Linked DNA regions of Pelodiscus sinensis. The main gene of each other region encodes a partner of the protein of the gene in region 2 in a complex. Links are inferred from orthologs where the notes say so. Each region holds a gene or a part of one and is shown on either strand. Other genes may lie near its edges. The genes, in order: INSR and GRB14.

Region 1 (3,906 bases), on a different chromosome or scaffold from region 2:
TCAATAATGTCTCACTGGTTTTTTGCTTGTGCAACAATTGTGTATGCATTCATCTTCAAACTGCTGAATGCACCTTCACATTAAATAATGTGTTATTTTCAATACATACTCTAATGCTCTGCAAATATAAGAGTGTGCGCTAGTGTTTAGAGGAGTGACATGGGCATTAAGACAACATTGAAAATTCTTTGGACCACGGACTTTCCTACATATCCTTAACTAGGGTTATGAATGGTTAACCAAGTGATGCTTACACATTACAATTAACCAGCAGGGCAGCCCCACACCTGACACAGCCAGGAGGCTTGGCTAAGCAACAAGACTCAGGTGGGCATGCTCCAGCCCAGCTGAAGCAACCCCCTCACCTGTCCAGTTAACTGATTAAACAGGATTTTACATCCCTATCCTTAACATACCTAGGACGGTACTGGCACTATATACGTAATAAAATTAAGTAATATCCCCCTGTTCCATTCTGGGCTCTGCTATAGTCTGACTCGGTGGACATTGATCCCATTTCTCTATCCGTAAAACAGAAATAATACTTCCCTATTTCATAAGGATGTTGTGAGGATTAATTCATTACATTCATAAACACATAAACAATCCAAGAACAAATGGTGCTACAGAAAGCCACAAGATCAGCAGTTTGTTTGTACCAGTAACAATTTGTAAAGAACTTTGAGGTCACTGAATTAAAGTTATATCGGTACTAAAATTAAAGCGTTGTGCACTGGAGAATGAAATCTTCATGTATTTCCCCACACCACAGTTTGGGCTGCCTGCCATCTCTCAACTCTTAGTTGAAAAACACAGTAGTACTTCTCAAATTTTAAAGTGAATACATGAATAATTTTTTAAAAGAGCGTGCGAGAGAAGAGAGGAAGGTATTTTTGATTACGTGACCAGCCAAATAGATTGTTTTTCCAAAAGTCAGGAGTGTTTCTTGCTTTGAAACCTTTATTATTGTATGTATGTGACGTACCAATCAATGCAATATCTGGACTCTGAACCACCCTACTGCTATTGCTTCTGTGGGAAACATGCCAAGTACAATGAAGGTTATTAAATGAACAATTTCAGTACTTAATTCTCTTTAAGCAAATATTTACCAGCAGGTTCTTTCATTTTCTATAAAAACAAAAACAAGCTAGATTCAGACAGTAAATGCTAGCTTAAGTCATTTATTTAAGCAAGCTTATCCACCTAAAATCAGCCATAAACAATGGTCTGACACTCGTTAAGATAGTTGTGAGCTTCATTTAGGAATCTCCCCAATCCCTCCATTAATGTAACTTCTCTCCACACCCTTGCTTTTAATACCTGTAACCTGTTTAAGAACCATTTTGTGGTTAATTTAAAATCCTTGCCATTCTAAGCCCACACCATGCTAAGAGCTTTCAGAAACTATATCTGGTGTTGAAATTAACTTTTAAAAAAAGAGTTAGAATTCTGTAATATAGCGAGGAAAAGGCTAGAGTGGCATGCTTTTTCATGTTTAAAACAAAAATAGACTTACAAAGACATTACTTGTAGGGTAAATTCCAACAGAAAAGCATGGGCTAAGTTCTCAACCCTCTATTTTATATATAGGCACACATGATACAATTATACCCCCTGCACATGCCAAATGCCACATTTAAGAGAAACAGTTTTAGACCCTGATTCACAAGTCAACTTAGAGGCCCCATTTCAAAATACTTGTGAGAAGTAAATATTCATGGCCACTAAGGTAAAGTTACCAGCAACTTCATAAAACGAAAGATTTTTCATTTATCCCGAACCCAAAGTAACAAAAACCAAAAACAAATGTCTCGGGGTAGCCGTGCTAGTCTGCACTAGAAAAAAAAACACACACACACCTTAAAAAACAACCAATCGTTCTGCAGCACCTTAGAGATTTAACAAAAAAATGCAGATGGGCACATTTAATGCCAACTAGCCTATGCCAAGCAAAGCAGGAATAAAGGAGTTTCCTCCTGACCTAGTCCATGTGTCTGTTCCAATAAACACCCCCCGTTATCTTTGTAGCTGTTGCTAGACCTCTTTTCAGTCACACGCAGGTACGTTGCACGCTGGCTGCATTTCGGAGAGCTTCCCACGCGCACCTTGACTCCCCTTTTTTAATTCATAAATTAATACACAAATCAATCAATCAGTCAGTCCTTCCATAGACGCCACTTTCTGTTCATTTAAGGCAACTCCCGCCCCTCATTATAGCTCCCACCCAAACCCACCCTGAAGAAAGGCATTTGGTTGGGGGGGGGGATGAAAAGCAAGAAAGTGCTCGGGGGGGGGGGGGGAGTCCTGGAACTGCCCCCCCCCCGCTCAGGTACAAAGGGCGGTGTCAGGGCGACCCTCCCGCCCTGTCGCCCCGCTCGGGCTGCAGGGGGCACAGTCACCTCCGCGCGGGGGAGACGCTCCCTCAGCCCGCGCGGCGGGGGGCGGGCGAGCGCGGCTCCCCTCAGCGCCGGCTGCGTGGCGGGGGCACCTGCCCCGGGGACTAGGCCGCGCCCGCGCTACTTACTCTCCCCGCGGCTCGGGCCGCAGCAGGCCCCCAGCAGCGCGGCCACCGCCAGCGCCAGCGCCGCCCTCAGCGCCATGCTCCGCCGCTCGGAGGCCGCCGGGCCCCGCGCCCGCCTCTCCCGCCGCTTCGTCGGGCCGCTGGCGGCGCGGGCCGGGCTCGCGGCTGCCTGCCTGGCCGGTAAACAAGGGGCTGCCCCCGTCAGCTGGGAGCGGGCGGCGGCAAGAGGCGGCGCGGAGCCGGGCTGGGGACGGGACGCGGCCGGGGGAGGGGCCCCGGGGAGGGGCGAGCCACCTGCCGGGCCCCCGGGACTGGAGCGGCGGGGCCTCCCCCCTCACGGCCCCGGCCAACCGAGAGCGCGCGCCCCGCTGCGGGCTCTTCCTCCCGGGGAGCGACCGGCCCCGCCCCCCGCCCCCCCGCTTCCCCCCCTGCCCCTGGGGGCCCGCCGGCCCCGCCCCCCGCTTCTCCCCCCTGCCCCTGGGGGCCCGCCGGCCCCGCCCCCCGCTTCCCCCCCTGCCCCTGGGGGCCCGCCGGCCCCGCCCCCCGCTTCCCCCCCGCTCCAGGGGCCCCGCCCCCCGCTTCCCCCCCTGCTCCAGGGGGCCCGCCGGCCCCCACCCGCCCCTACCCCCCCCGGGAGCAACCTGCCCCACAGCCTGCTTCTCCCCCTGCCCCAGGGGGCCCGCCGGCCCCGCCCCCCGCTTCTCCCCCTGCCCCAGGGGGCCCGCCGGCCCCGCCCCCCGCTTCTCTCCAACCCCAGGAGGCCCGCCTGCCCCTCACCCGCCCCTACCTGCCCTGGGGATCAGCCTGCCCCGAGCCCCACTTCTCCCCCAGCTCCAGGGGGTCAGCCTGTCCCACCCCCCCCCCCCCCGGGATCAGCCTGCCCCGCACCCCGCACCTCCCCCAGCCCGAGGGGGCCCGTCTGCCCACCACCCGCCCCTACCCCCTGGGGAGCAACCTGCCCTGCAGCCCGCTTCTCCCCAACCCCAGGGGGCCCACCTGCCCCGCAGCTGCCCCGCACCCCGCTTCCCCTCAGCCCCAGGGGGCCCGCCTATCCCACCCCCCAGGGGATCCGCCTGCCCGGCAGCTGCCCCGCACCCTGCTTCCCCCCCAGCCCGAGGGGACGAGCCTGCCCCGCAGCCGCCCCTCCCCTCCCCCGGGGATCAGCCTGCCCCGCATCTCGCTTCTCCCCCAGCTACAGGGAGCCAGCCTGCCCTGCCCCTAGCCCCCTACAGGACCAGCCTGCCCTGCACCCCGCTTCTCCCCCAGCCCCCGAGGCCAGCCTGCCCTGCCCCAAACCCCACAAGGGGCTAGCCTGCCCGCTCCTGCCCCCCAGGGATCAGTCTGCCCCGCATCTCGCTTCTCCCCCAGCTCTAGGGGGTCAG
Region 2 (3,906 bases):
TAGAGTATGATAATTTCATGGGAACATTTATTATTTGGAATTTAGAATTGGACCAATTTTGTACATTATTATATATTTTGAGAACTGGAAAAAAAATTGTAGAACTGTTTTAACAAAAAAAAGTTATGACTTACTTGTTTTTTTCTTGAAGTGGCCTTGGGCAACAAGCTGGCTGACAAAACTGATGAAAGCGGAGAGCAACATAGCTCAGGAAAAGGGTTTGGAATTGATGGCGTTTCCAACATACCAAGCTCTTTCTTTTTGATCCTACATCAACAAAATACATAAGAAAATCAAATAAACTGCTGAATTAAAGCATTATGTTCACAGTATACATAATGACATTAATATTAGGGGGTTGCCACATTAATTATTGGTCATGTTACTAGCACATTTTATTAGACAACTGTACTGATTAAAATGCATATGATTAATTTTGCATATGCAAGATTTCTTTACACCCATCTCCTCCAGTGGCTAACTAGTTACATCACCAGAAGCATTGTCAATTTAGTTATTTCCCAACCCTCCCCTTTTCCTGGGAATGTGAACACCGCATTCTGATTTCAATTCTTGAGAAAGATTAAATTAAATCCCAGTGATTACCATGGTTGTAAAATTAAGACTTACATTAGTAATTTACAGCATCTGGACCTACGTGTGTCCATACTTCAGGTATTAGCAAATAGCTTCAGGAATATGCACCTGATTCTTACACATGCACATAATTTTACTATAACGAGTAGCTCTATCCATTTGATATGAACTTACTCATGATAAAACTAAGCACCTGCATGAGTTTTTGCAGAATCAGGTCCAAAGGTAATTAATAGCTTGGCATTTCACATAGGAAAATGTCCCTTTCTTCCTCTAACTGCCTCTGTCTTCTTTCTTGTATGATTCCTTAATTAGCTATGAGACATAAAATGTCTTGCTTTTAAAATCTACGTTTGTTTTTGTTTCAAATACCACCAGCCAAAGCCTGTGGTTGTTTGAGCAGATTAAGATTCAGAATGATTATAGAAATGGAAAACAGCAACACCTAAACTTTTGAAATGCTGTGCACACTATGGTACATAATGTTCTGACATGTAAAATATAAATTAGTACCTATTCTTCTAAGCAACAGAAATCAAAGTGCTGTAAACCTTGATTTGATTTGCAATCATCTATTTTTCCTCTATTGGTGTAAGCTGAAGATTGGGGTCAATATTTAACCTCTTTATTACCTGCATTAATGTTATTCTGTGTGTCACTTGTTAATTAGTATGATAAAAATGTTTAGACTTCAATATCATGAAATTACTTTTAAGGCTTCTTGAAGTATTTAAAGAAGTTTAAAAGGACAATAGTTTAGCAGGAGTGGAAAAGATTCTGCTCACAATACTTTTAAGTGTGGGAGAAGTTAATGTAGACAACTGACAGATACTGCATAAAAACCTAACAGCTACATTTCTTTTAATTCAAGTTGAAACAAACTCATCTTTTAAAAGGAAACTAACAGCTGCTAAAAGCACTTGGTACAAATGTGCACTTGGTACACTTAAAATTATTGCAACTCTTCCAGAAGAAATTTTAGTAGTAGATGTTTCTGGGAAATGGATTTCTCTTATCATGCATTTCATTTCACTTTAAAAAATTTTGTGGTGTATAATGTTGCTGATATAGCCTTGGTAGATCAAATGCTGAAACTATAAACAGCACTATTAATTATCAGAGGGGTAGCCCTGTTAGTCTGAATCTGCAAAAGGGGCGAGGAGTCCTGTGGCACCTTCTAGACTAACCGAAGTGCTGGAGCATAAGCTTTCGTGGGCAAAAACCCACTTTGTCAGATGCATCTGACGAAGTGGGTCTTTGCCAACGAAAGCTTATGCTCTAGCACTTCGGTTAGTCTAGAAGGTGCCACAGGACTCCTCGCAGCAATATTAATTATGGCCCCAAAGTGTCATTGCAAATTGATGACTTGTGCAAAAAACTATTTTTTGGCTGATAATCTATTTTAAAAAACAACAACCCCAAGGTCTAAAAGCTCTTGAGGAATAACAGATCAGTGAAGACCTAAAATAATTGCCATAGAAACGATAAAAGACTCTATCCTGCAAAGACTTGTGCCCGAGCTACTGTAAATAACGCCACGGGAAAGGTGAGCCCATACATAAGTGTTTGCAGGAGCGGGAGTTAACAGTGACTGTTCAGAGCCAATTGAGAAGGAAGGATTTAAGTGGGGGAAAAAATGCTTCCGCTACGGGACCCTTCACATCTTTCTGCCTTGGCTGGCGAACCTCTAGCGGTAGCCGCCCGCCGTTGTGCGCCCAGGTCTCTCTCCAACCCCGCTATTGCTCAGGCATCAGCCCTATGCAACGGCGTCCTCCGCTTGGTTTTGAGCAGGTGTGAACAGGACCCCCCCCCCCCCCCGCAAGGTTTAGGAGCCGAACCGTCTCGTTGCCTTGTGAACCCAACAGCCCCGCACCCCAATACGGAGCCTCCTTTCGCTCAGGAGCCCGAGGCGCGGTTCTAGGCTGCGAGGGGGGCCTCGGAGCCACCTGTAGCCACACGGGGCAGAGGAACCGCTGCCCCCGCCTCACCTGTCTGGCCCGAGCCGGGGCCCCGCCCGAGGGCTGAGAGGGGCGAGCCAAGGGGAAGGAGCCAAGTCCTCGCTGCTCTCCCGGGAGGGAGCCGGGGTCTCTGCGGTCCTCGGCGTATCCGGCAGCGGGGCGGCCATGGCGGCGGCTCCTAAGGTACCATCCTCTGGCTCAGCCCCTCCGCGAGCTCTGGCAGCAGCGGGAGAGCCGGCGGGCCCACTTGTAGGGAGGGGACTGCTGCGCGGGGGAGGGGGGTGAGCTCCGCCCGGGCTGCCGCCCCTGCACCCCTCACACGTGCGGCGGGAGGCCGGGCTGCCCCCTGCGGCCCCTTAGCGCTGAACCCTACCTGGGCGGGGGCGGGGGCGCTCCCTGCGCTCACCGCCCCCACGCCGGGAGCGAGCCCCCCTGCCGGTGCTGCGCTAGCACAGCCGCGGGCTGCCTGGGGCCAGGCTCGCGCCGCTCGGGCTCACTCGCTAGGTTCTGGGAAAGGGAGACGAGGGGGAATTAACCCGCTGTGGCGCTCGCTCCGCACCTGCTCCATGCGGCTCCTGTGCGAGTCGCTGGCTCCCTGACCCGCTGCAGTGGTGGCTTGGGGAGCCAGGGATGCTCCTAGTGGTTCAGTTACCTCTGCCACCTACTTGCTGTGTGACCTCGGGTACTTCATCTCTCCCTGACCCCAGTCTCTGCTCGAGAGAGAAAGAGAAGATCCTCTCTCCTCCCCCCCCCCCCCCCCCTTTGCCTTGTCCTTTTAGTTTGTAACTTCTTGAGGCAGGGTTTGTGTATGTACAGCCCCTAGCAAAATCCTCCATGGGCACTAACCCACATTGCCCAGACTCACGTGCCTACAGCCCCTACAGAGGCACTACTGTGATCCAAAAAAGCCTCCACTCAGCTAAATAGGTGCCTAACATCTCTAAGTGATGAAATTTCAGTTGTACAAGTTCCCAAACTACCTAAATTTCTGCACCTGAAGCTGCATAGGGCTACTTCAGGCAGGCAACCAGCTACCTCTGTCATGCTTTTCCCACAGAGGATCTTCAAACTGCAGGAAGATGGGCCTTGTCCTAGCTTTATTTTGGAACTCCACCCAGAACTTCCCCAGGGTGGGCAGGAAAACATAACTCCTAGTAACTGTTATCCCAGTGGTTTGGATATTAACCCAGAATGTGAGAAATTCTGATTGAGTTCCTCCTCTTGCTTGGTGATGCAAAGAAACGTGAACAGAAGGTTCCTTTCTTTCAGGAGAGCACTAAAACACTGAACTACCCTCATTCTGATGTGGGTTTCTCTCTCACTCACTCTTAGTGAAGCCAATCTACTTTAT

Evidence for each region.
Region 1: the proteins of GRB14 (region 2) and INSR are in contact, whole or in part, in a crystal structure (PDB 2AUH), measured with the Homo sapiens proteins. The link is inferred for Pelodiscus sinensis from reciprocal best matches to the Homo sapiens genes GRB14 and INSR. Residues at the interface, in NP_004481.2 of Homo sapiens: Glu373, Asn374, Ser375, Leu376, Val377, Ala378, Met379, Asp380, Phe381, Ser382, Ser386, Val388, Ile389, Glu394, Val398, Ala399, Glu401, Glu402, Gly403, Leu404, Trp406, Arg407; in NP_000199.2 of Homo sapiens: Leu1065, Arg1066, Ile1069, Glu1070, Lys1112, Arg1116, Arg1163, Met1180, Arg1182, Tyr1190, Lys1192, Gly1193, Gly1194, Lys1195, Gly1196, Leu1197, Leu1198, Pro1199, Val1200, Trp1202, Ser1207, Leu1208, Lys1209, Asp1210, Gly1211, Gln1235, Asn1242, Glu1243, Leu1246.

The regions. Positions count from the first base shown.
Region 1 is NC_134729.1:20,789,386-20,793,291, forward strand, and holds the start of INSR (insulin receptor), read right to left. Parts: upstream 2,662-3,906; 5' UTR 2,604-2,661; coding exon 2,528-2,603; intron 2,189-2,527; exon of another isoform or gene 1,985-2,188; intron 1-1,984. UniProt on the Homo sapiens protein: Receptor tyrosine kinase which mediates the pleiotropic actions of insulin.
Region 2 is NC_134717.1:36,399,298-36,403,203, forward strand, and holds the start of GRB14 (growth factor receptor-bound protein 14), read right to left. Parts: upstream 2,922-3,906; 5' UTR 2,723-2,921; coding exon 2,586-2,722; intron 270-2,585; exon of another isoform or gene 268-269; coding exon 135-267; intron 1-134. UniProt on the Homo sapiens protein: Adapter protein which modulates coupling of cell surface receptor kinases with specific signaling pathways. Binds to, and suppresses signals from, the activated insulin receptor (INSR). Potent inhibitor of insulin-stimulated MAPK3 phosphorylation.